4 linked regions of the Lytechinus pictus genome follow. The protein of the gene in region 1 purifies or fractionates together with the protein of each later gene. This does not show direct contact. Links are inferred from orthologs where the notes say so. Each region holds a gene or a part of one and is shown in the gene's direction. Other genes may lie near its edges. The genes, in order: DNA-directed RNA polymerase III subunit RPC2-like, GPN-loop GTPase 1-like, DNA-directed RNA polymerase III subunit RPC8-like and protein POLR1D-like.

Evidence for each region.
Region 2: the proteins of DNA-directed RNA polymerase III subunit RPC2-like (region 1) and GPN-loop GTPase 1-like purify together in Homo sapiens (affinity purification with mass spectrometry; 4 studies listed by BioGRID and IntAct, with this or other methods). This does not show direct contact. The link is inferred for Lytechinus pictus from reciprocal best matches to the Homo sapiens genes POLR3B and GPN1.
Region 3: the proteins of DNA-directed RNA polymerase III subunit RPC2-like (region 1) and DNA-directed RNA polymerase III subunit RPC8-like purify together in Homo sapiens (affinity purification with mass spectrometry; 8 studies listed by BioGRID and IntAct, with this or other methods). This does not show direct contact. The link is inferred for Lytechinus pictus from reciprocal best matches to the Homo sapiens genes POLR3B and POLR3H.
Region 4: the proteins of DNA-directed RNA polymerase III subunit RPC2-like (region 1) and protein POLR1D-like purify together in Homo sapiens (affinity purification with mass spectrometry; 6 studies listed by BioGRID and IntAct, with this or other methods). This does not show direct contact. The link is inferred for Lytechinus pictus from reciprocal best matches to the Homo sapiens genes POLR3B and POLR1D.

The regions. Positions count from the first base shown.
Region 1 is NC_087250.1:6,009,949-6,016,945, reverse strand, and holds the start of DNA-directed RNA polymerase III subunit RPC2-like, read left to right. Parts: upstream 1-3,986; 5' UTR 3,987-4,072; intron 4,073-6,652; 5' UTR 6,653-6,664; coding exon 6,665-6,717; intron 6,718-6,997. UniProt on the Homo sapiens protein: Catalytic core component of RNA polymerase III (Pol III), a DNA-dependent RNA polymerase which synthesizes small non-coding RNAs using the four ribonucleoside triphosphates as substrates.
Region 2 is NC_087252.1:17,444,260-17,451,229, reverse strand, and holds the start of GPN-loop GTPase 1-like, read left to right. Parts: upstream 1-3,964; 5' UTR 3,965-4,402; coding exon 4,403-4,570; intron 4,571-6,970. UniProt on the Homo sapiens protein: Small GTPase required for proper nuclear import of RNA polymerase II (RNAPII). May act at an RNAP assembly step prior to nuclear import.
Region 3 is NC_087254.1:6,939,301-6,946,760, reverse strand, and holds the start of DNA-directed RNA polymerase III subunit RPC8-like, read left to right. Parts: upstream 1-4,433; 5' UTR 4,434-4,523; intron 4,524-7,460.
Region 4 is NC_087249.1:40,692,395-40,699,620, forward strand, and holds the start of protein POLR1D-like, read left to right. Parts: upstream 1-4,205; 5' UTR 4,206-4,327; intron 4,328-7,226.

The DNA.
Region 1 (6,997 bases):
AGGAAAATAGGAAGGAAAAAAAGAAGAAGGGAAGGGGAAAAAAAAAGAAAAAAAAAGAAAGATGATGATGATGAAAATTATCTTGGTGATGATGATGGGTTGGTGATGGTGGCGGTGATGATGATGATGATGATGATGATGATGATGATAATGATGGTGGTAGTGGTGATGATGATGAGAATGAAGTTGGTGATGATGGTGATGATGAAGACTAGATGTAATTTTGTTATTTTGTCTTTGAAAAAATTAAGTAGTGCATAGGTGAATTTATTTAAAGTTAATTATGAAAATAGCAGAAAAAATAATTTGAAAAATTGGTATGCGTTCAGGAAAAATCCATCCCCCACCAAAAAAAAATTAAAGGTGAGATTTTTTAAATAATTATTTGTGACGGCGTAGGCCTTTGCGAGCAGCTATATCGGATATAATTATGGTAAAAAGTAAATGAAATGTCAAGAAATACGTGATAATGACTTTTATTGTACATTCAGTATATCAATAGATAACTTCATACTCTCTCCAAAAAGAAAAAAGTGGGTCATTACGGACCATTAAAAATGGGAAATTTTTGCATTTTGTATTACATAGAATATTGAGCAACTGCTCGTTTATGACGTCACAAATCAAGCATTCGAAATTCTACTAACTCCATTTTTTTTTAATAACACCTTCACCGATGTTTTGAAATTATTTTTATTTGGCCTATATTTTCACAATCTTTTTATCAAGGTGAAATTCCCCTTTACAAAACAGTATCCACATGATCAGTGTGTAGCGGTAAATTATTCACCTGATAACTATAGACCTATCTATAATTCATGCGGCTATGTTTAATAATATATTGCTGTGAATAGAATGAATGTCATTAAAAACATAATCTCACTGATCACTAATGCCAGCTCGACGCGCGAACTGAAAAAATATATTTTCTGCCCCGATAATTTGATAACCCTAACCTAACCCAATTTCTAAGTATTTTTATCATAAACAGGATAACTATAGACAATTAATTGAAAACTTGATATTCTTTTGCGAAAATGAATATGAAGGACAACTTTTTAATAAAGAACACAGTTTTAGAGCGTGATTTATATATACAACCGCCTAATCCTGTCACTGTCGGTATGACATGAAGCAGTTGGAACTTTCTGATTCCATCAGCTTAATAATTTTTGCAACAGGCGCCAGTCCAACAAACAGACAGACATTTGCCCAAACAGACAACATCTCAACCTCTGCTCATTTCTTTTTGCACGGACACATAAAATCTCGACCTACCCATCACTTTTCTCACTATTTTCTCCTCCCTTTTATTTTCCATTAATTTTTCTTTCGTTCACTTTTTTTCTGTCCTCTTTTTCCTTCTATTTTTTTTTCTCGTCTCACCGCTTTTCCTCATCCCCCAGCCCCCGACGCCCACGCAGATTCGCAAACAATATCAAGTGTACTGTTAGGCAAGGGCGGAAATCTCTCCCTAAAGGTAGCCGGGACCAGGGGCTGGAAAATTTGACAAGAAAAAAACAAACAAACAAAAACAAAAAAGAAGGTTTATCACCCCAAAAAGAAGGTCATCTTGACCAAAAGAAATTTGATAAGCAAACAAGCAAAAAAAAAGGGCACCCCAAAAGTAAGATTGTCTCTTCCAAAATACATATTTTATTTCGATTTTGAATGATAAGACCCAAAATAGTAGGGGGATGACATTTCATAATGTGTCCCCCTACTATTCTAGGTGAGGGGGACATGTTCCCCTGGAATTTGCGCCCCTGTGGGTGGGGGGTGTTGCGCCTCCCTTTCGGAATCATTATGGAAGAGTGTAAATACTCGCTGTGATTTCGATCTCATACCTATAAAAAAAAAATAGAACAGCTACGCCTTGAACACAGGCCAAAATGCCTAACGATTTCTCCGCGGCATTAACAACTATCGTAAAGGGCGCTCCATTTATCAATAAAGATGGATGTTAAGCTGTCTATGGCGACAAAATTTGCCGCAGATATTTACGAAGAATTGTGAGAAATGGTCTGAAAATGCAACAAAAGAACCAGTGAGTACCGATTAAACATTATCAATTTATTTAATAGAACATATTTCATGACTACAATGTAACAATTTCTCGATAATATTGCTTAGTTCTAAGCTAGGGCGGCCCAAATGCACGTGAGTGGAGTCCCAGTTTATTAGCACGGGTAAGTATTGGGGTGTCGCCTAGAGTGTTTGTAGGGTGTCTGATGCCACACTGAAAAGTGTCAGCATAAGACAGGCTGATTTAGGGGAAAATGTGGCACATTTTTTTCGGGAAGTTCAGGCTACTAGAAAAACGTGGGCATGTGATCTGAATTGATGATTAACTTGTGTTTGGCATGTATGGAAAGAGAAAATTCAGGGGCTTCTTTTGACAGGAAGGACAAGTTTATATGATCATTTGAATTACGGATTTTGAAATAAATTGCAAACCCTTATTTATTTTTGTGTGTGTTGAGATTGCCATTTCCCCATGCGTTTTCTATGGGAAAATGAAATTTCTGTTTTGCACAATTTTTTCACTTTGTCGCAATTTTTCAATGTGATCTGGTTTCCAAATCTTTATAAAAATCATACCATCAGAAAGAGCATAAAAAATCCTATTGGACTCTTTATGGACAAGTTTTTGGCATTAATAATAAATTTATAACAGCTCTCGGAAGCTAAAAATTTGGATTTGTGTGTGTCCATTTCTTAACTACACAGTCTATGGCATTTGTTGTTGTTGTTGTTGTTCGTTTTGGGCCTGTTTCACGCCCTAGTAGTCTCCTCGGTAGACACTTAGTGTTGAGAACTCAAAGGTAGAAAAACTGCTAGGTAATTGTTTTGTTGGCTAGTTTGGCTAGATGTTAGCGCTGGTGGATGAGACAAATGCTACCACCGATGCTCTAATTATAGATTGCATTTGCTTGGTCATTGCAGGGTTGAAGCCCAGGAGGGTGACCACCGAGTCTATGGCAGAGAAATGCTGAAAATTGACCTAATTTCATTCTTCTTTTTTGTAGCCAATAATCAGATTTTTTTCAAAAATGTTACATTTCTGTCAGGCTGAAGGTCATTTCTCTTCAAATTCACAAAGAAAATGTGATATTTTCTTGAAATAAGAAAAATAATATTTTTCTCCAGACACCCTAATGATTGGTTTTTTGACACAGCTCAGTTTTAATTTTAGTCAGTATTCATTTTAACCCAGGAGCTCACCGTGTATTTACCCATACTCACGGGACAAGGGTAGATTATGGTCAAAATATCTAGCAAGATAAATTGTGAAAACAGAAATTATGCACTTACCACGATTATAATATAATGGATGAAGGTCTAGTCTATCGAGTGGTAGAATCCTGACATCGAGGCACAGACTGGAACCTCAAAAAACAGAAAAGTTCTCTCCTTCTACCCCAGTCTCGATCGGCCATCGAGACTGGGGTAGAAGGAGAGAACTTTTTGTTTTTTTGAGGTTCCAGTCTCAAGTCAGCTATGTACATAGGCAGTGGCCCGCGCAACTGGGGGTGGGGGTGGAGGCTAGTTGGGCTTTATCCCTCCCCCTCCCCCACTTAAAAATAAACTTTGTACAAAATAGTGAAAGTTACCATCTGGTTTTACCACAACTTTTGACATAGCACCCCCACCCCCAGTTTCAAACCATTCCGCTGCCCCTACTTGGGTTATATCAGTAAGCACAAGAAAGGGTCACAAGTCATGCATAAAGTCATTCACAATTTTTTACGAAAAACCCACCAGGTGAGCGTTTTATGAAAGACCATGTCGGACGTTTTATCCGACAGTTATCACAGTGACAGTGCTTCTCAGCCAATCAAAATCAAGAAAAGTTCTGACAACATGTCGGATGAAAATATTAATGAAACACTCCCCTGGCCTCTGTAGCATAAAACGTTAGTGACCATTTACCAGACACTCTGATGATGTTTCATTGTATCTTTAATTTTTTTTTTCAAAGGATAAATGGAAGCTTCTTCCGGCCTTCCTGAAGGTGAGAGGGTTGGTCCGCCAGCATATTGACTCGTTCAACTACTTCATTAATGTGGAGGTAAGTATTTGAACGCATACATTCGTAATTCTGAAGCTTTGTTATTCCAAAGGTTCGTTACTCCAAAGGTTCGTATTTCCGAAGGTTCGTAATTCTGAAGGTTCGTTAGGCCGAAAACGAAATAAGGTTCGTAATTCCGAAGGTTTGTTAGTCCGAAAACGAAGTGAGGTTTGTAATTCCGAAGGTTCGTTATTCCGAAAACGAAATGAGGTTCGTAATTCCGAAGGTTCGTTAGTCCGAAAACGAAATGATTAACGAACCTTATTTCGTTTTCGGACAAACAAACCTTCGGAACAACGAACCTTATTTCGTTTTTAGATTAACGAACCTTCGGAACAACGAACCATATTTCGTTTTCGGATTAATGAATCTTCGGAACATCGAACCTTATTTCGTTTTCGGATTATCGAACCTTCGGAATAACGCCACAAATGTTCGGATTAATGAACCCTTTTACGTTTTCGGCTTAACGAATATCGAGGTATAGGCAATTTTTTTCTGGGGGGGGTGGGAGGCTTTATCTGGCTCTTGAGCCAATTTAAAGGACAAGTTTAAAGCAACCAAAAAAAGTTGATTTGAATAAAAAGGAAAAAATTCAACAAGCACAATACTAAAAATTTCATCAAAATCGGATGTAAAATGAGAAAGTTATGACATTTTAAACTTTTGCTTAATTTCACGAAATAATTATATGCACATCCTGGTCAGTATGCAAATGAGGGACTGATGACGTCATCCATTACTATTTTTTTTGTATTTTATTACATGAAAAATTAAATATTATAATTTTCTCCTCATTGTTAGGTGAAACAACAGTTAATTCCTCACTGAGCAGGTGGAATTAGCATTGATTATTACTATATGGTTCAGTCAAGTTGGTCCTAATTGTCAAATCTGTAAAAAATGAAATATATAATTCAAACAATAAAAGCAAAAATTGTGAGTGAGGGACATCATCAACTGTTTCATTTGCAGGTCACTGAATTGTGCATATCACTGTTCTGTGAAAAAATAAACAAAAGTTTCAAATGTCATAATTTTCTATTTTACATCCGCTTTTGATGAAATTTTCAGCGTTATGGGAGTTAATTTTTCTCAATTAATTCATATCAACATTTTTGGGGGTGGACCTGACCTTTAAAGGAAACAGAGCTGCCAAGTAGTACTGGTCTTCAGTATTTCGTACTGAAAAATGAGAAGAATACTGGTGATTTCATGCAAAACACTGATTTCTAAAGTTTCAGTTTTATGGTTCTTCCTGTAGACTGGTATATATTTCTTTCAAATAACCCAAAATACTGATTTTCAGCTATACAAAATACTGTAATGTTCTTGTTCAGGTTGGCAGCTCTGAAGGGCTACTCTAAACTGAATAAAAGAAATGATTTCAACAGATAAGGTAAAATCAGATATAAAAGTCCTGAAAATATCATCCAATTTGGACAAGGATTAAGAAGTTTATGAAACTTTTAACAAGTAGGCTTGTGTCGAAACAGAAAAATCAAAGAATACGAACAAAGAAAGTTTGAGAAAAATCGGACAAATAATAAGAAAGTTATGAGCATTTGAATATTACAATCTCTAATGCTACAAGGAAGTGTGATGTCACACATGAACAACTTTCCCTTTGATGGACTATGAAATACCCTGAAAATGTGTCTTTTTGCTTTTTCGTATGGTTATACAAACTCTTTATCCATGATGTATTCTTTAAAAATCTGTTTTACATGCCCACCTACAGAAAGAATAAATGTTCTACTGATAGATGTAATAAAAGAGGCAATTTAAGTGAAATATATACTAAAGTAATGGGGAGAGATGTTCAAGAGTGACATCACACATCTTTGTCGCATTGCCAATGTGAGGATCTCCATAGCATTAGTGATCGCAATATTCAAAAGCTCATAACTTTCTCATTATTTGTCTGATTTTTCTCAAACTTTCGTTGATCCGTTTCTTTGATTTTTCTGTTTTCACACAAGCTATCTTGTTCCAAAGGTTTCATTCTCCTTTAAAGTTTGCATTTTTTTATGAGCAAGGTGAGATTATCATATCCCCATGTAGGCCTCTATTCTTGTTTTATTTATTCATTTATATTTGTGTTTATTTATTCATTTATTCTCATTCACATTTACTTTATTTATTTATATGTTTGTTTATCTATTTATTTATTTTTCATTTATTTGTTTATTTATTCAATTATTCATTTATTCATTCATATTCATTATTCATTTAGTATTATACTATTTTCAAGTTTCAAGTTTTTTTTTCAAGTTTCATTTATTTCTCCTCAAGAGATCAAGATAAAAATACATAAAAAATAGACAATGTAAGTACAATGAACATCAACTTTAAAGAAAGTGAGGAAGGTAATGACCAAAAAGGATGAAACCTTGTGTGAGACCAACCCATAACAACAATTGTACTTAAAGAAATCTTAAAAACATCATATAATCACAAATTCAATGAGAAAAAAAAACAAAAAAAAAAAACACCTAACTAAACCTTAACCGAATGAGAATGGGGGGGGGGGAACCAAAAATAAATCTAAGACTTATTATTTGTTTATTACATTTACAGATCAAGAAGATAATGAAAGCAAATGAGAAGATTACCAGTGATGCTGACCAAACTTTCTACATGAAGTGAGTACTATGTCATAAAGACATACAATTATCATAGTCATTATCATCACAACCAGTGAGCAGTTTATCATATGATTGACTTTTGATTTATCAGCTAGCAATATTCTTAGTACGTAGAATATATACTTGATTGTTTACTTTCATCATGAGATCTTTTAGTAGCCCCCGTGCCCGTCTTACAAAGAGTTGCGATTGATCTGATCATTCGCAAGTATGGAAAGCCAGTTAAGTAAATATGTAAAATGCATGTTCAAAAATTTTTGCTAGATATGATGTATAT
Region 2 (6,970 bases), on another chromosome or scaffold:
AAAGTAGTAAAATGAGGAAAAATGGCATTTAATCATTAAAGACTTTAAGAGCAGAGAGGAAGAAACTGAGGTTAAACATAAAATACAGAAAGATAAGGGTGAAACATACAATTGAAAAAAAAACAAGGAGAAAAAAAATGAGGGAATTAGACAAAAGTGACGATGTGTCAAAATATGCCCTGATATATTTTGGTACAAAACGGAACCTGCCCGGGCCTCTATAGCCTATAATCTAGGCGGAGGCTAATGTCTTGAACGGTTAATGTAATAGTTAATGTCTTTGCTGTTATGCTGAACGCAAGCGATACGTCTGATGTGACAAAGACAATAAATGCTACCTCCGCCTAGATTATAGGCCAGGGTCTCCTCTACAAAATATAAGGGAACCGCTCGCATCATCTATATGAAGGTGATAATTAAAGGCAATGGACAAGTCTATTACCCTCCAGCATGTACCTGTTCTAAGACAGAGGGTCGTTTAGATTCGCAACATTTTGATTTACCGAGAATATCCCAGAATCATACCATATATGGCAAGCCATTTGACCCATCGACGATAAACATAGTTTATCGTCTTTATGGGTCAAATAGCTTACCATAACCATACCACTTTAAAATTCGGGTTACACTTCGTAATTCCGAAGGTTCTTTATTCCGAAGGTTCGTAATTCTGAAACACGTAAATTGCCTATACCTCGATGTTCGTTAATCCAAAAACGTAAAAGGGTTCGTTACTCCGAACATTTGTGGCATTATTCCGTAGGTTCGATAATCCGAAAACGAAATAAGGTTCGATGTTCCGAAGGTTCGTTAATCCGAAAACGAAATATATGGTTCGTTGTTCCGAAGGTTCGTTAATCCGAAAACTAAATAGGGTTCGTTGTTCCGGAGGTTCGTTAGTTCGAAAACGAAATAATGTTCTTTAATCACTTCGTTTTCGGACTAACGAACCTTCGGTATTACGAACCTCATTTCGTTTTCGGACTAACGAACCTTCGGAATTACGAACCTTCAGAAATACGAACCTTCGGAATAACAAACCTTCGGAATATCCGAACCTTCGGAATAACGAAGCTTCGGAATTACGAACGTATGCGAAAATTTGATCTGACGGGCCTGCATGTGTAAGAATGCATTGACACATTCGGAAGTAACAAGAAAGAGACAAGTGTTTTCAGAATTGTTCAAAGGAATATCGATGTGATCTTAATGGTCTGATTCATTTATCCCTGACAAATTACTTTGCCCATTGAACTTAACATTACAAAATGATACAAAATGATGAATCAAAAGGTATAATTACATTTGAGAAAACTCAGCATCCCTAAAAATAAAAATTTACACGAATATGGATTCTACAGTATGAAACATTTTGAAACTTGGTAAATCTGACCAAGATGTTGTTCAGACAAAATGTAATTGTAATGAATAAAAATAATGTTCAACAATATGTTGAGTTTATAGGCAACGTAGATCACACCAAAGGAAAATGTAATAAATTCAATAATGAAAACGTGCACAATGTGAGACTGCATCAGGCAATTATCTGGTGAACAAATGCAACTTTGAAACTACAAACATGAAAATGGGATTAAGATAAACAAGCATCCTTCGAAACTTTAACCTTATTTATGCCTATATGGATTTTTATTATTTGAAAAAAGGGTTAACTTCTTGTGACTTTTCAAATAGAATAGCTTTAAACTCTAAGTAGGGTCCAATAAACCATTGGAAGCATTCGTTTAAAATCTCTCTGTTCAAAGTACGCATGATAAAATAGTGAATGCTCATAAAAATATAAATTCATATATTCTTATTGAGACTCAACAAAAGAAACGAGGATTTTATAGTTAAATTATGAACTTATTTTTATAATCATTGATGACACCCTTTATAGGGCCGACCCCAAGAAGAATTTACATTTATCTTGCTCATTATTAACTTTCAGACAATTGTGCGTATGATGTTTTGCAACATAAGAGCGTAAGATATTAGATGCGTTTAACACAACCTGGGTCAGCTTTCTGTAGATGGATTGCTATAAACTTTAAATCACGCTTTATTGTACTTTAAGCTATTTATGGAGTGCCACGAAAAATGTATCTACATATGAAATTTGAAACTGAAGTTTTTTTATTGAATAGTTTTGTTCTTTTATCCAAAACATAATTGCTATTAGGGGTGATTTCTGAAGATAAAATGTCAGCAAGAGTACTAAAGATATCAACCTGCAAACATTCTGTAGTAATATATTCGTAATATTCTTACACATCGTGTTTACATGTAATGCATTTACTATTTATTTAATAGTAGACTTAAGTTGTTTTTCTTTTTTGATAAAATACTATTTTGTCTTTGTTTATCTGCTTATAGTATTTGAATTGTATATTTGTTTTGTATTATTTTGTACATTTTGTTTTGAACAAAATGTTGGCGGATGCCAGACGTTCTAATAGATTCAATTCACATAACGGAGCATTTATTTTTTATTATTACTATTATCATTTATTCTAATTTGTGTCACTCTTTCGTTGGTACCTTCGATATTTTGTATAGTCTCCTTTTAAACTGTCTTCCGTCTCTCATTTATACTATAGTTTTGTAATGTTGTCTTTACGTATTGAAACTAAGTTACAGGCAGACAGGGGCTTGCCTCACATACAAGCTTTGCTTTTTTGGCAAGCCCCTCCGTTCTGTTTTTTTATATAGTTAATAGTCAAAGTTACTTTAGTTCGCATTATAGTTCTCATTGTTTATACCTTCTAATTCTTATGCATTATTCCGATTAATATTGTACTTTAAATCTGACTATGTATTGTTACTTTTATTTTGTTGTGCTTTTTGAACGGAAAATGAATAAATCTAAATTAATCTAAAATCGAAGGGCAAGTGGAATTCCTCTTTTATTTAATTGATACATAATGCAACCAATCAAATATGTCATGTAAATTTAGGAACTTGTTTTCATCAAACAAAATATCAGTATGAGATCACTGGCGGATCGAGGGGGGGGGGGGGGGGCTAGTCTACAAATGTAGACCCACATCTGCAGTGTGTGAACCACAGCTGATTCAAGGAGTTGCATAGACTAGGTCTACTGTAGCTGCAGATCTGAAATGGCTCGCTTCGCTCGCCCTTTCAGGCTAGCTTCGCGCTGAGATCCCACCTAACGAGCCATTCAGAGTCTGCATAGCAGACTATAGGGGGGGGGGGGGCAAAGCCGGCCCGTTTTGGAAATGTACTCTGAATAATGAATTAATGACTCTTGAATTTCTGGAAAGAAGTTTACTTAAATAAGAAGTGTGAACTTAATTCCAACTCTGCTTCCAATGTTTAACCCCAAGGAATTTTGCACAAGACTTCAGTAATCTGAACCGCATGCCTTAGTTGTAATATTAGCTGGCAATGTTGCTAGAGTGTTGCTGAATAACATGTAGTTTGTTTTAACAAATGATTCAAGGAAATTAAGCCTGATTTTGTTCAGATAATCATCCCGTCATGTCTACAATCCTTCAAAAAGATGATGAGATGACAATTAATAGATCTCGATCTCATGTCTTTATCCAATATGGGAGATGATCAGATGACAAGATATCTTGGATCTCGTCATATCTATACATGCCGTTTGAGATCGATGATCAGATGACAATATCCTGGATCTCGTCATGCATGTCTACATCATGATCCATGCAGTGCAGATCATGGATCCAAGACCTTGTCATCTGATCATCATCTCCACAACTCATTAATGTAGACATGACGAATCCAAGATCTCAGTCATCTGACCATCTCTCCCACATGTAGACACGACGAGATCCAAGATCTTGTCAAATGTCAACTCATATCATCTCTCCCACAGGATGTAGATATATGATGAGATATTGTCATCTCTCCCACAGGATGTAGATGATGACAAGATCTGAGATCTCGGCATCTGGTCAATTTTTCCTAATTATAGAGATGCAGAACATATAATAAGATTATTATCTGAACATCAGGGTGGCACGTATACGTTCAAGCTTCATTATGTTAGCAATGATCCATTCGTTAACAGAAATCAATTCTGTATTGACAGTCAGCTAGTGCAACAATAAATTGCAGGGGTTCTTTTCAGAAGAAATACATGTATAGGCCTACATGTATGCGTCATGAAGGAAATCATATGAGAAATAAGGTGAACCTTGCACTCTGACACATGTAATTGACTGCATATATAAGACTTAACACCATCTAAGAATACAAACTGTTCTAACCAACCAACCAACCAATTAACCAACCAACCAATATACCAACCAACAACCAACCGAACCACCAACCAACGAACCAACCAACGTAACCAACTTAACCAACCCCAATCATGATCAGCAGCAGCCGCGTATGCGCATTATCTTGATAAGCCAAAATGGCGACGCCCATGGGTATTTCTGAACCTCGTGAGAGTGACAGAGTTAGCAGCGAAGACGGTGAGAATGGAGGTGCTTCTGCTGGGGGATTGCACAACACTGACACCAAACCACCATGTTTAATCGTATTAGGGATGGCAGGCTCTGGTAAAACGACTTTCGTTCAGGTAAATAAAAAAAAAATGCGTCCATGCTTAGCCCATGCCCCACATATTGATTATTGTGTTGAGTATACAATTGAATTGTACTGTAGGATGGGGGGTCGCACCCAGGCCAAGGGTAGCCAGGCGGCTTCTAGAGAGTAAAAATCATTTACTAACGTAAGGTCACTCTCATACGAAGCCAGGGCTTCCGTCATATACTTTTGCGTGTACCACCAAAAAACCTGAAACTTTCGCCCCCGAAATTTCTACTTTCTTTCTAAAAGATCTAGCCCTAAATCATGTAGGGATAAAACTTCATTTCCGACATTTCTACGCTCTCGTTGTTATTTTTGAACAAGAATTCATCAAAAAAATGAGAGAAATATTGTGTAAAGACGGAAGAGACTTGCCCGATGTTTACGCCGCCATCTTGTTTCCTATTGTTCTTCGCCAACGTTACAGACGCGTGCATCGGGTAACGTTGGGGAAGAACAATACTATAGAAAACAAGATGGCGGCGTAAACATCGGGCAAGTCTCTTCCGTCTTTACACAATATTTCTCTCATTGTTTTGATAAATTCTTGTTCAAAAATAACAACGAGAGCGTAGAAATGTCGGAAATGAAGTTTTATCCCATGTACATGATTTAGGGCTAGATCTTTTAGAAAGAAAGTAGAAATCTCGGGGGTGAAAGTTTCAGGTTTTGGCTTCCATTGTGTGGGTCTATGGGATAGAAGGCCTGGCTTCATGAGAGTGACCTTACGTTAGTAAATGATTTTTACTCTCTAGAAGCCGCCTGGCTACCCAAGGGTTCATTACATGCCGCCGCGCACAGAAAATTCAAGCCATAGAAGTCGTGTGTTGTGGACCCAAGAAGTGAGATCCCAGCACGCGCTACCCACTAGTTAGAAATCCACTGCCAAACGCGGTTCGTGGACGTGGTGCGAGGTTAGTAATACTAATACTAACCTCGCAATACGTGTGAGTGGGGGGGTCGTAGCCAGGAGGCTTCTAGAGAGTAAAAATCATTTACTAACGTAAGGTTACTCTCATACGAAGCCAGGTCTTCCTTCCTATACTTTTGTGTGTACCACCAAAAAACCTGAAACTTTCGCCCCCGAGATTTCTACTTTCTTTCTAAAAGATCTAGCCCTAAATCATGTACTTGGGATACAACTAACAACTTCATTTCCGACATCTCTACGCTATGGATTTTATTTCTAGACAAGAATTCATCAAAAAAAATGAGGAAAATATCATGAATAGACGGAAGAGACTTGCCCGATGTTTACGCCGCCATCTTGTTTTCTATTGTTCTTCTCCAACGTTACGCGATGCAAGCGTCCGTATCGTGGGTGAAGCAGACAAGCAGACATGCCTAGAACATGAGTAGAAATCGAGACCGAGTATGAGTTCAAGTGTGTATTAGAGTCAGAATACGCATACACAAAATTGGCGACGAGGATAAAAAAAACCTGAAAAGGCAGAGGATGTGGCTCGACGCGTGGACCTTTCACAGCCAGCACCCTTTGATGTTCGTTCGGCTAGAGCAGGGATTGCCTGGCCAAAATGGAGGCGGACATTTGAGTACTACCTTGCAGCATCAGGAGTCTCAGCAGATGGTCAGAAGAGGGCTCTTCTACTACATTGTGCTGGACCAGATGTTCAAGAGTTGTATGAGACACTGGTAGATGAGGATGAGCCTAAGTATGAGACAACGCTGAAGGCTCTGACCAAATATTTTGAGCCCTGGAAGAATGTGGTATTCGAGAGACATGCATTTCGACAAGCAGTTCAAAGTGATGATGAGACAGTCGATGAATATTGCACTCGACTATTGTCGTGTATTGGCAGCATCATGTGCATTTGGTGAGCACACAAACTGAGATTTTGCTTACCCGTGTGGTATCAGTGAGAAAACAGATCCTCTGAGAATACCTTTCATAATTCATATAAAATATAGGAAAGTGGAATTCTAGGTCGATTTTGGTACGAGGTGACAGAGTATTGCAGACTTCTTTCGATGGAATATTGCGTGGGGCACGGGAGGCTTGCAATGCGCATGCTTACTATATTTTCATTCATAAATTTGCTTGCGTCGCAGTGACTGGATGACGTCACTGCGCTGCAATAGAAACATGGCGACGATTGAACGATCTGTCACATCATCATCACTTGAAAAACTTGTATATTTATGGATATTTCGAGGGTTATTGGTGAGATTCAAAATGAGACTTGTGTACTTTTGTGATGAGTTACAATCATGTCTTACACTACGCAATACAAATCAAATACATGTACGTTATACTGGTGAGCAATTTTCGGGTATCGGGTATTGATTTTTCTACCCGGGTACCCGAAGCTTCCGGGCGGGATCCGGGTACCCGGGTTTTAGTCCCAGCCCTACGTATTACACGAGGAAC
Region 3 (7,460 bases), on another chromosome or scaffold:
TAAATCCCAGAAGACAACTCAAAGATTTGAGCACTATAAGCAGTGCCAGAAAGAGGCAAAGCATGAAGTAGAAGTAGCCAAAAAAAGCTTTGAGAAAAGACTAGCTGAGAATATAAAGGAAGATACTAAAAGCTTCTATGCATATGTGAGAACGAAACAGAAGGTAAAGGATTCCGTCGGGCCTCTTAAGAATGAAGCTGGCGAAACAATTAACCCAGGAGTTGATACAGCTAACGCCCTCAACAACTATTTTGTGACGGTGTTTGCAGATGAGAAAAATGAAGCACCCATTCCTCAAACAATATTTCAAGGACCAAATGACATGTTTCTCAAAGACTTCTCGATAACCGATGAATGTGTCAGAAAGAAATTGGAAGCGCTTGATCCAACAAAGGCTGCTGGACCAGATGAGATACCTCCAGTCGTTCTCACGACTATGGCAAGCCAACTATGTGCACCCCTAGCCTACATATTCAACAAATCCTTAGAAGAAGGAATAGTGCCTCCAGATTGGAAACTTGCCCATGTTATCCCAATCTTTAAAAAAGGATCAAGGTCAAAGCCTAACAACTATAGACCAATCAGCCTAACTTCAACAGCTGGGAAAGTTATGGAAAGCATAGTTAGAGACAAGATTACTGAGCACGTTGAGAAACACAACCTTATCTATGACACTCAACATGGCTTCACCAAAGGAAGGTCAACAACAACGAATTTGCTGGAGTATCTCGAAATCATCACAAAGAGAGTCGACGAGGGTACGCCAGTTGATGTCGTATACCTCGATCTAGCAAAAGCGTTTGACACCGTACCACACAAAAGACTAATCAGGAAAATTGAAGCACATGGGATCGGTGGTAAGTTACTACAATGGATCAAAAGTTGGCTCAGTGATCGTAAACAAAGAGTTAGTACACAGCGAGCAGAATCTGACTGGAGGGAAGTTACCAGCTCCGTTGTTCAAGGCTCTGTGCTGGGCCCACTCTGTTTTTTGATGTATGTAAATGATATGGATATTGGAATCAACAATGACTCAAAAATCAGCAAATTTGCAGATGATACCAAGCTTATACATGCCGTACAAACTGACGAAGACATACAAGGTATGCAACAGTCGATCAATCACCTCGATAGATGGGCAGCAAAATGGCTGATGAGATTCAACATAGACAAGTGTGCAGTTATGCATTTTGGATCCAACAACCCTCACCAAGTGTATTCACTGAATGGCTCTGCACTAAAAGAAACGGTCGAAGAAAAAGATCTCGGGATTCTTGTCAATAAATCACTAAAAGTTGCTTCCCAATGTGCAGCAGCGGCCAAGAGAGGCAATATGGTACTAGGGATGATCAAACGCAACTTTACATTTAAAAATAGACAAGTGATCCTGAAACTGTACAAATCGCTGGTACGTCCACACTTGGACTATGCAATGCAGACTTGGAATCCATACCTAGCAAAGGACAAACAAATACTGGAGAAGGTCCAAGCAAGAGCTACAAAAATGATCCCTGATATCCATGATCTATCCTATGAAGACAGGCTTGCCAGATTAAACCTCACTACGTTAGAAAGGAGGAGAGAAAGGGGAGACCTCATTCAAACATACCGGATCATGACACAAATGGACAAATCAAACCCAGACAATTATTTCCAGAGAGTAGAGTGTGCCAGAACAAGAGGACACTCTCTTAAATTTTCCAAGCAACGATCTAGACTGGATATACGGAAACACTTCTTTAGCCAAAGGGTTGTCAATAAATGGAATAAACTCCCACAGTCCACAGTTGACGCACCAACACTCCTGCAATTTAAGATACAATTATCAAAATTGGGTTTTTAAATGGGCTCTAAGAGCCTCCTTAACCCTGCCACACTCATCTGTACACCCTCGTCATGAAGACAGTGAGATGTGGCCATCAAGGTAATTTCAAGGTAATATTTATTTTTCTATCTATCTGTCTAATAATTATCTGATTAAATATGTCTGTCTATCTATCTACGAATCTATCTATCTGTCTGTCTGTCTCTTTATCTATATATCTATCTAATATTTTTTAATATGTCTGTATATCTGTTTATTTATCAATCAGTCAATCTATCTATCTATCTATCTATCTTAGCCGAGAATGTCCACCGAAAGCGATGACGTCTTCACCCATTCAGTCATGTATGCTTTACCGCCTATGTCTGGTTTGAAGAAGCACTGCCCGTGACAAAATGGTGAGAATTTTGTTTTGCAACGGAAGTACAAGCGAGTTGACCAGTGAAATGTAGCCTTTTGTAAGCTTCATTTCATCAATCATCGCGATTATCGTATGTCAATGAAGTAAAAGACAGACGGAATGGAGAAAAGGGAAATTTCAACACCTTGTCCATTTAGCTCCAGAGATAGTGTAGTGCCATGCGTGGAGCTATCCATGCTTCATATCATGCCTACAAAACGTTAGTGATTGATCGTAGGGCAGAATGCAACAGCTGATATTGCACTGGCTATTGTGCATAATCAGTAATAAAATCAAACTTTATGTTTTGTGTTCATGGGCCCACCTCGTGGTGTATTCTCGGGCACGCGTGGGAAAGTGTCGTAATTGGGTTCGCTGGTATCCCCATATCCTTGTCATTTTGTGTGTTGCAACCGGATTCATGATTTCTCCCCTCAGCACAGCGAAAATTTTGCAACCATCTCTGTTACCTCGTCCTGCCAACAATGATGTGCGCCGCCTACAGGCCGAAAAAAAAGAGGAACGTATTTTTTTGCAATTGAGTGAAATGAATTTTGCAACAAGAGTGAAATGTTTTACGTAGCGAGAGGAATGGATTTTCACGTGAGGAATGAATTTTACGTACAGTCTAATACGGCAGCCGCCGTCGTATGTGTTATCCAACAAAAGTGAAAGGATTTGTTTTCTCTCAGATTTAAAATGTAACAAGTGAAAAAGAAACTAGATTTTAATTCGTCGTGCGGACGAATTAGGTGGTCGGTCGTAGATAAACAGACATAATTATTCATACAAATGAGTGGATATAAGTATGAAAGATAAATAGACAGACAGATAGACATACATATTTAAACAGATACGTATAAGAAAGATAGATAAATAGATAGATAGATCGATGGATGGAGAGATAAATGATAGGTGGATTGATCAATAGAAGATAGATATATATTAATAAAAGGGATTAATATATAGATAGATATAAACAGATAAATAGGTATTAGATAGATAGACAGATAGACATTAGATAGATATTGATTGATGATAAAAAATACGATGAGGAGGATGATGCTGATGATTGATGGCAAATATGATGATGATGATAACGGTGATTATGATATTATATTTGATATACACATAGATTCAGAGACAGATAGATACATAGATACATACGCAGATAGATAAACAGATGGATAGATATATAGATAGAGAGAAAATAGATTGATATATTTATTGATAGATAGACAGATAGAATAACATATTTAACAGATTTAATAGATAGATATTAAATAGATAAACAGACAAATAAACAGACATGATTATTTGCACAGATCAATAGATATTAGATTGAAAGATAAAAGGTAGACATACAGATAGACATACATATTTTGAACAGATAGACTTAAAATAGATAGATAGATAGATAGATAGATAGATAGATAGATAGATAGATAGATAAAGATAAATAGGCAGATAGATAGAAATTAAGACAGATATACAGACATTTAAACAGCCGGATAAATCATTAGATAGATAGATAGATTGAATGATAAATAAACAGATATAGACATATTAAAATAAATAAATAGATATTAGATAGATAGATATAGAGACAGACAGATAGATAGATAGACAGACATATTTAAACAGATAATTGTTAGACAGATAGATAGAAAAATAAATAGTTCGAAAGATAGATAGATAAATAGACAGACAGATAGATGGATAGATAGATAGATTTAAACAGATAGATATATATTAGGCAGAGAGATAGATAGATATATCATGTAGGTAGATAGATAGATGAATTTTACGTACGGTCTAATACGGCAGCCGCATGTGTTATCCAACAAAAGTGAAAGGATTTGTTTTCTCTCAAAATTAAAATGTAACAAGTGAAATGATTCTTTTCAAAAGTGAAACATATTTTTTTTGGAAAAGTGAAATATATTATTTTTTGAAAAGTGAAATATATTTTTTTGAAAAGTGAAATATATTTTTTTGAAAAGTGAAATATATTTTTTTGAAAAGTGAAATATATTTTTTTTGAAAAGTGAAATATATTTTTTTGAAAAGTGAAATATATATTTTTTTGAAAAGTGAAATATATTTTTTTGAAAAGTGAAATATAAATTTCTTTGAGTGAAATGGTTTAGTAGAAGAGAAACATATTTTTTTCAAGTGAAATATATATATAATTGTTTCCCTATGGGCGTGCCATAGTCGAGCTTACAAGTTACACGATTTGCATTCACTTTTCTCGATTTAGGGTCCAAAGAAATCTTCTCCTCGGCGCCGTTGTATGTAAGTTCTTTTTGCATTTAAGTTTATTTCATCAATTAAAAGAATGAAAGTACCATGGAGTATGCAAGATTAGAAAATATTCATTTATTTCTTTGTTAAATCGAGGTAAATTTTGGTGATTCGAAACGTAACATGCAGAAGTTTAATGCTGTGTCCCATACGTAGTGATTTGTGTATTTGTTTTTTTATTATTATCATCTCAGTCATAGTCAAGCATAGTCATCATTAGACCAAAAGCTTCAGTCTCTGTATTTTGGTTGTTCCGCTGAACTACGTTGGCTCCACTCACCAAATACAGAGACCGAAGTTCTAGCGCGATCTGTACAGGGGACTCAATGGCCATATGTTTATGTACTTAAGATCGGATAAAACGGGGAAGTGAATTTGCGCGACAGCCGAGGTAAGTCACTGTTTTTGTTCCTTTTACCTTGATTTTTCTCCGTTTTTGGGCAATTAATGCCAAGAGGGAATATTAATTTGCATTTTGGTCGCGTTAATTTTCAAAATTTTTATTCATTAAAGACAAAAATTGAAGAGCCCCGACGGGGGGGATTTCGCATTGCAAGTCCCCTAATGGTGGCTGCACGCTAGCGAGCCGTCTGTGTACGAGAAGAATTAAAAAAAAAAAATGTTAAAAAACTCCTCGAAACAGACGGATGGCAGCTGTCTAAGTCATCATAATCTGGTATATTTCCAGGGTTGGGCGGTAAATACCGGTAGCGGTAATTACCGGTGGTAAATACTGGTAAATACCGTCCGGTAAATAAGATGGGCGTCCGGTAAATATGGAAAAAACAGGAAATATGATTTATAATTCTTTTTTGTCTCGCCTGCATAGCAGAGCGAGACTATAGGCGCCGCTTTTCCGACGGCGGCGGCGGCGTCAACATCAAATCTTAACCTAAGGTTAAGTTTTTGAAATGACATCATAACTTAGAAAGTATATGAACCTAGTTCATGAAACTTGGACATAAGGTTAATCAAGTATTACTGAACATCCTGCCTGAGTTTCAGGTCACATGACCAAGGTCAAAGGTCATTTAGGGTCAATGAACTTAGACCATGTTGGGAAAAAAATTTTCAAAATCTGAACCGAAGGTTAAGTTTTTGAAATCACATCATAACTTAGAAAGTATATGGACCTAGTTCATGAAACTTAGGCATAAGATTAATCAAGTATAAGTGAACATCCTGCTCGAGTTTCAGGTCACGTGACCAAAGTCAAAGGTCATTTAGGGTCAATGAACTTTGGTCAAGTTGGGGGTATTTGTTGAATTACTATCATAACTTTGAAAATTTATGGATTTAGTTCATGAAACTTGGACATTAGGTTAATCAAGTACCACTGAATATCCTGTGCGAGTTTCAGGTCACATGACCATGGTCAATGGTCATTTAAGGTCAATGAACTTTGGCCGTGTTTGGGGTATATGTTAAATTACCATCCAAACTCTGGAAGTTTATGGATCTAGTTCATAAAACTTGGACATAAGAGTAATCAAGTATCACTGAACATCCTGTACGAGTTTCAGGTCACATGACCTTGGTCAAAGGTCATTAAAGGTCAATGAACTTTTGCCGTGTTGGGGGTATTTGTTGAATTACCATCCTAACTCTGAAGTTTATGGATCTAGTTCATAAAACTTGGGATATAAGAGTAATCAAGCATCACTGAACATCCCCTGTGAGTTTCAGGTCACAAAACCAAGTCAAAGGTCAGTTAAGGTCAATAAACTTAGGCCATGTTGGGGTAATTGTTGAAGTGCCATCATAACTTTGAAAGTTTATGGATAGAGTGATTGAAATGTGGACATGGGTGTACATGTAGTTGACAGTCTTAAGTCTCCGTTCAAATGTCATTTATGGTCAATGAACGTGGTATTATGTCATTATATGAATGATGTTTTTGTGAATGATTATTTTATAGTAGTTTTCAAAGTTAGCACTGCTGCTATATTAAATTGCGTAATGCAGGCGAGACTGCCAGAGGCGTTCCACTTGTTTTCAATAATTTTAGTATTTTTTTTAGTTGTTTTTAACCTCAACAAATGAAAGTAGTGTTCTGAAATAATTAGAATCACAAAACTCATAGTAGCTAGAAACACACAAACAGATAAAATCCATACTGCATACATGTACATACCCAAACACACATAGGATCTAAGTCCACACATACGCACACAAACTCAAATTATGTTCCTGGAAATTGAATAATCATATTAAAACATAAACAAATATTTCTCTTGGGGTTTAACTTTTTACATGCCATTGTATCTCATTACAATATGATTTTTGTTTTAAGTGTGAATAAAGCTCTGTATTCTACTGTATGTAAGGAGTTTTAGTGTTTACATGTATGAGTGTGTACTAGTGGTTGCTGGTTTTGAATTTTGATATTGCTTACAGAAAAAGATCTTTTTGTAGCCTAAACAAGGCAAAAGCAATTTTGTGTCTCGCCCACTTATGAAAATAACCAGAAATATCGTAATTTGCGAGGGCACGCAAGAGAATTATATCAAACTTCATTGTGAAATGACTGGGATGGAATAACACTTGTCATAAGAGCCTTGCACGTAAACTTTAATGTTGACCTGAAAATGACCTTTGACCATACCATGTGACCTCCAACTGCAGCATAACATGCAGCTCGCCTAAGTACACCTACCATCCAAGTTTTGTTGAAAAATAACTCACGGATGCGGAGTTAGGTGTCATAAGAGAGTCTTGCATGTAAACTTGAACGTTGACCTCAAAATGACCTTTGACCTAACCATGTGACCTCTGACTGCAGCATAAGATGCAGGTCCCCCAAGTCCATCTACCATCCAAGTTTGGTTGAAAAGTGACTTACAGTAGTGGAGTTATGTGTCATTACAGGTTTGTGACAGACGGACGACGGACGACATTTGGATCCCTAAGTCTCGCCTTCACCTCTGG
Region 4 (7,226 bases), on another chromosome or scaffold:
CTTTAACGTAAAGCTTAATGCAGGAAGGGTCCATATAGGGGCCCGTTATAGAACCCATTAAAGGTTACAGATGAAAAGCCCCCACTGCACGGGGTCTTGACTCTTGGACAGAGCCTTTGGAGATTTAGCAAGTTTATGATAGACTTTCATAGGACATTATGCTATATACCATCCATTTTTCTTCCCGCTCGTTATCTCAATCCTCGGCAGCCCGGTAGTGTACGTTATCTTGTCCCTATTCTTTATTTTCCAATTTAGATTTTGGCTAATTCCATTCTGCCTTTATTTCCCGCTTTTGTTTGCCTTTTTGTCATCTTTAATTTATTTCCCTGTCTTACTAATCATGCTAATGTATTTGTATATCGGGGCGAATTGTTCTTTCTCAATTGTTCTTTTTTCCTTCCTTTTCCCCGTTATCTTTCCGTTTTCCCTTTTTTATGTTTTTTCTTAGTTTTCTTTTCCTTTTTCCTTTCCCTTTCCCCTTTTTTCTTTCCTTTCCCTTTCCCTTCCCTCCCCCTTTTTTTCTTTTTCCCTTTTTTCTTATTTTCCCGGTGAGCTCCGCCAGCCCAGGACCAAAATCCAGTTGAAACCAATTAGAGCAAAACCAATTGAAACCAGTTGGTCAACTGGTTTCAATAGGGAAATTGGAACAACTGGAACCAATTGAAACCAGTTGCCAACTGGTTCCAGTTAAAACCAATTGGGCAACTGGAACCAGTTGGCAATTGGTTTCAATTGGTTCCAGTTGAAACCAATTCAAGCAACGTACCAGTTGGCAACTGGTTTCAATTGGTTCCAGTTGTTCCAATTTCCCTATTAAAACCAGTTGAATCCAATTGGAGGCAACTGGTTTCAATTGGTTCCAGTTGAAACCAATTGGAGGCAACTGGTTTCAACTGGATCCAGTTGAAACTAATTGGTTTCCAACTGGATCCAATTGGAAATTCCAGTTGGAATGACTTAATTAATGACAAATTAATTAAAATTTGCACTAACTATTGCTCATGCCAACAAAGAAGCAGTGCTATATGTTTATTAATACCAATGTAAAGGGCATTGATAAAATAGACTTTCTTCATGTATATATATTTATATGAAAGATCTTCAAATATATGTATTTGTATTTGATGTAATTTGGTAACAGTTAGTGGTGTACTAATTATCTTATAATATGTTTTAATTATAATCTATAACATTTATGAACATGGTTTTCACTGCTAAGCATTCTAAACACTTATCTGAAACAAGTATGGTACTTGAATTAGAAAAGAATTAAATAGATACATTTTAAATGATGATGAATCACATAAAACATTAATCTGTGCACACTGGCAGATAATATGCAAATTAACTGGTTTCAATTGGAACCAGTTGGGTAACTGGAAAATTTCCAATTGGAAACCAATTGGAAGTCATTTCCAGTTACCCAACTGGATCCAGTTAGGATTTCCAGTTGCCCAACAGGTTCCAATTAGAATTAATTTCCAGTTAATCACCTTTCCAGTTAGAAGTCATCTTCAGTTACCCAATTGGTTCGAGTTAGGATTTCCAGTTACCCAACTGGTTCCAATTAGAAATCATTTCCAGTTGGAAGTCATTTCCAGTTACCCAATTGGTTCCAGTTAGGATTTCCAGTTACCCAACTGGTTCCAGTTAGAAATCATTTCCAGTTAGAAGTCATTTCCAGTTACCCAACTGGTTCCAGTTAGGATTTCCAGTTACCCAACTGGTTCCAGTTAGAAATCCTTTCCAGTTGGAAGTCATTTCCAGTTACCCAACTGGTTCCAGTTAGGATTTCCAGTTACCCAACTGGTTCCAGTTAGAAATCATTTCCAGTTGGAAGTCATTTCCAGTTACCCAACTGGTTCCAGTTAGAAATCATTTCCAGTTAGAAGTCATTTCCAGTTACCCAACTGGTTCCAGTTAGGATTTCCAGTTACCCAACTGGTTCCAGTTAGAAATCCTTTCCAGTTGGAAGCCATTTCCAGTTACCCAACTGGTTCCAGTTAGGATTTTCAGTTACCCAACTGGTTCCAGTTAGAAATCATTTCCAGTTAGAAGTCATTTCCAGTTACCCAACTGGTTCCAGTTAGGATTTCCAGTTACCCAACTGGTTCCAGTTACCCAACTGGTTCCAGTTGGAAGTCATTTCCAGTTACCCAACTGGTTCCAGTTAGGATTTCCAGTTACCCAACTGGTTCCAGTTAGAAATCATTTCCAGTTAGAAGTCATTTCCAGCTACCCAACTGGTTCCAGTTAGGATTTCCAGTTACCCAATTGGTTCCAGTTAGAAATCATTTCCATTTGGAAGTCATTTCCAGTTACCCAACTGGTTCCAGTTAGGATTTCCAGTTGCCCAACTGGTTTCAATTGGTTTCAACTGGAAATTGTTATATTCCAGTTAAAACCAATTGAAACCAGTTGAAACCAATTGAAACCAATTGGAAATCCAACTGGTTTCAATTGGATTTTGGTCCTGGGAGGGGGGCAGCTTGCCCCCCCTGCCCCCCCGCCTGTTACGCCACTGACTTTAAATGACACATTGTTTATGTCATGGGTGACCGAGATATTGTTTTTTGAGAGCGAACTTTATCCGAGCTATTTGTTGGTTTCCCACTGCAATTTTCAATGATATTCTATCCCCTATTCTAACCATTTTCCGAGTAAATGCTTCTGAAATTTTTGTGTATAACACATCCTTGGTGACTTGCAGGCACCTGCTTAGCATGAGACATATTATGTTCTTCGTCACAGTCCCACAATGGTTAGAAGAGCAAAGCAAAACATGAAGCGTAGACAGGGAAGGTAAGTCCTAGTGCGAAAACGTTGAAGCTGTTGGTGCAAAAAATAAAGATGGCTGGTCTAATTCCACTTTGTCTCTATTTCATGTAGACATTATTGTCAGATCTAAGATCTGAACATTCTAAGCATTTCTTGTTTTCATGATCAAGATACGTATCTAACTAGAAACAAAATTTATGCGAGCGCGAAGCGCGAGCTGAATTTTTTTTTACACTGACCTGAAAAGTGCCACTTTTCGGACTGTTTGCAGTGACTCATGTGAAGGATACATATTTCACCTCCCAAATAATGCGAGCGCGAAGCATCAACTTTAAATTGTTTATATTCCGACTGGAAGAATTTTGACATTCTAAGCAATTTTTTTAAGATCGAGATGGGTATGTCTCTATAAACAATTAATGTGAGGGCTAACCGCGATCGAGCTGAAATCTTAATACACAAACCCGAAAAGGGCCATACTTTGAACTATTTGCAGTGACTCATGCGGAGGAACAAATCTCACCAACCATATAATGTGACGCGAAGCGCGAACTGATTTTTTTATCTCGACCTGAAACACTTGACAATTTTGAACAATTTTTGTAAACATTATCAGGATTATTTTGATAATTCGACCTAAAAAAATAGGTTAAGCACTTTTTTTATAACAATATATGAAAAAAAAACATTAATCATAATTGCCGAGCGCGATCGAAGAGCAAGCCGAAAACCTAAAAACGGGACAAATATTCTTTGTAATCATGAAAAGAATGTATCTTCCTAAATAAATGATGCGAGCGCGAAGCCAAAATTGAAAATTTGTAATTTTCCAATAGGTAAACTTGGCGTTAAAATAAATAAAATGAATCTCTAGCTGAGCACTAGTATCTCAAACAAATACAACCATGAAGCGCGAGCTAAAATTTATATACTGAACCGCAAGAGGGAACGTGTTAAGCACTTTATAACAAGATTGTATGCATGTGACTGCGAGCGCGTAGCGCAAGCTCCATTTTTTCAGCATTTTTTAAATTCATGATGGTGGGTATCTCGGTGAAAAAAAATAATTAAAACTCGAACCGCGGGCAGGATTGGAAACAGGATACTTTAGTCCCCCGGCCATGTTATACCGAGGTGTTTTTTTTCCTCAGTCATGTCAGTAAAGCAGAATCTCATTAAAAAAAGAATCATTCACTTTGGCTCCTCTTATCTTTTTTTCCCATCCTTTTCTCCCCTTCTTCCCTACCCCCTTCTTTTACTTTTTTTTTGCCCCTCCAATCGGGGAGTGGGGTCGGGCGGCATCTTCGCCCCCTCCAAAAGGTCTGCATTAGTTTATGTTGGAACAGGCTACATGTAGGCCATGTGAACGTAGCTGACAAGTTTCAAGCGGACTGTATACCGTACCGTACTTGTACTTATGACGCGACGTGCTTGAAATTATATAGTCAGCTGCGTTCACTTATTTGTCTGCTTTCACGAACGAACAGCGCAGAGTTGAGAAGTCCTTGTCGTGATTATGCGATGACTGACAGTGTATTTCCATTTGGTAAAAGAACATGTCATTCGTACTTTAATGTACTTTAAAAATGTGGGAGTTACTGTAAAAGAGAACAAGAGGGGGTCTGTAATTTAATCGGCGAAAAATAAAGAGCGTTTGTTTGACTTGAGTCTTTAGTTTTACCTTTGTCCCACACCATTAATTTACTGTGGTGCTAACCCAGGCAGACTCTCACGCCGGCGGAGCCGGCGCGGCGCGTGACTGAGTCTGAGAGCCTGCCACTTGTTCACTGCAATCACCCTGCCTGTGGAATCTAACGTTAGATCTAACGTTACTTGTTGTACTAGATCTATGGTAAGCCAATGCCCAATGCAGTACACAGCACACACTTAAAAGTTCAGACATTAAAATATCACTTTTGTGACCAAAAATTCTAATTTCCATACAGTTGCAATTTATTTTTTATTAGTAATTTGGGAGTACCGGTACCGTAATTTGTGTACGGTATTCACCAGAGCGCTTGAAAACTTGAATTTTGGGCATAATTTTGTGTATGCCCTCTTGTGGAAAGTAATACTATTACTAATATGGCAAGATAATTGTCATTTTTCAATCTCTATTTTTAAGAAAAAATAATTTAAAGAATCAAATTTACTTAAGACCAAGTTATAATATTTATGATGAATAGCTGTAAAGTGTAATGGAAACTGACAGTGTAAAAATATCAAGCATTTGTCCCAAAGAAAAAGAGAAAATAAGCCAAACATTGCCAACCTTATTTTGCCACACATGGAGTAGTAACAGAGAACAAGGTAGACAGGAATAACCGTCGTTTCTGGGGATTTATTCAACAATTTCTGACATTTTACTGTAATCCCCATTTACCGACGGTAGGGTGTACGTGTGGGCTCGCATGTGTTCTCATTCCCTCCCTTTTGTCAATTCACAGTCCAAAGTTTGATGTAATTTTACACATCGAATTTACAATCTAAGGATGTATAAACAACAAACTTTTGAACCTTGATATTTCAATATTTACATACTTTAAACGATATAGATGAAAAAGGCATGAAAAATATACTTTACCGATGTTTAATTGGGTTGAACACGATAAAAATGGTCAAAATGGCAGCCAAACTATAAAATATTTACAAACGAACGTCAACAATCACGAATGTGATATCGATATTGCTTTCGATATTATACGATCTGCTCCATATGCGAACGAAACCGAAGATAAACGATACTAGTACTAGTACTAGTTATAATCGCGATATATCGATTCGAGACATTAAGTTAATAACGATAATGACGTCATTCAAGATGGCAACTTGCAAGAAAAACCGTCAGGTCAGGTGAAAATGTCTTAGATGACAGATTTCTCAATCATCCAGAGGATTTTTTTCAATAACTCCGGCCCAAGGTATGCAATTACTTAAGTTATTTATATTTCCCTGATAATGGAAACCATGAAACTTTCAATTTTGCTTAAAAAACAGTTTTAAATCGCGATCTATAAAACGCTAGTTCACTATACGTTGGCTGTAGGTACGGGGCCCCATCCCCTTCAGTCTATGTATGGTGAGTGGAGCCAACGTAGTTCAGCGGAACAACCAAAATACAGAGACTGAAGCTTTTGGTCTAAGAACAAGGTAACTAATATCATATAACCTTGTTCATTGAATGAGTGACTTTTCTACTAGTACTAGTCTATACGTTAGTCTCCAGACATTACGTCAAACCCCCGTTTGGAGAAAGACCGCAGTTCAGATTGCAAACTGCGGTGTTATACCCCATTTTTCATGTGGATCTCCCAAATATCATTTCCAAGCCCTTATCAACCGCGCTTGGCCAGGTAATCCAGGGGTAATCCCCGCTGTCTCAATTTCACCTCCACATGCCAGTATATGAGCATTGAGCAAAGGACCAAAAGATAAACAACAGCTGTGCTATTACGTAAGGCTTCTCTGCCTGTAGTAGGACCTTCGGAATGAAATTATTGTATTCGATATTTAATCACGTTTTCAAAGGCATATTGTATTCAGTAATCCAATGTTAGTCCATTTTCAATTTCGAACGAAGAAAATCAGCCTCTTAATAAGGAAAGTAAGCCGGACTAAGCGAATAAAAATGACGGCATGTTTTGCAGAAACCGAGCTCAGCGCTGCGCATGCATCCCATCGTGTGTGGCCCCCTGCTGTGACTGTATATGCCGGGCTGTTGTGTTATCTTCGGACCGACGTCAAGAAACAGGTGTTTTGATACTTAAATTGCTTGCTTGGGGCAGTTAGAGTTTGTCGTACTTGGAGAAGAGAATTGATGAGAAGGGAAACTGGGGTATAGTGTTCTCAAATGGAAGTTTTTCGTCATGAGCACTCAAAATCTTGAATTTGGCTCTACTCTAGTCTTCTTGACCTAGTAGCCTTGAGGACTCCTTGATGAGGTTTTTTTTTAAAATATAATTTGACATCTAGACTATACTTACATCATGGAGCCTTGACACCCTGCCCATACGGTCCTCAGCGAGGAGACATCAAAACAAAGATGGATTTCCCTAGGAAATCTATCTTTGCCACAATAATTGTTGGGAAAACATGTAATTTTTCCAATTCGTAAGCCTTTATACTCTAAATGCACGTAAGTGCCTTAAAAAAGAACAAAAAGAAAAGGTGAAAATTTAAAATTTTCTTACCAGAAGATTCCCTCGTTTGCAGTTTCCACATGTTAACACAGTGACTTGACCTTTGACTCGGTCGTGAGGAGGTATGTACGTACAGGTAAATACGGAGAGAATTGATGCTCATGCATAGCTAATTGTGCTAGTATAATAAGATTCTAGGCCGACGTAGTGTATATTTTGGACGTTCTAATGTCAATGACAGGTTTAGAGTGTTAATACAGTTTCGCATCGGCCGATCTGGCGATGCTAGGAAAATAATTTCAGCTC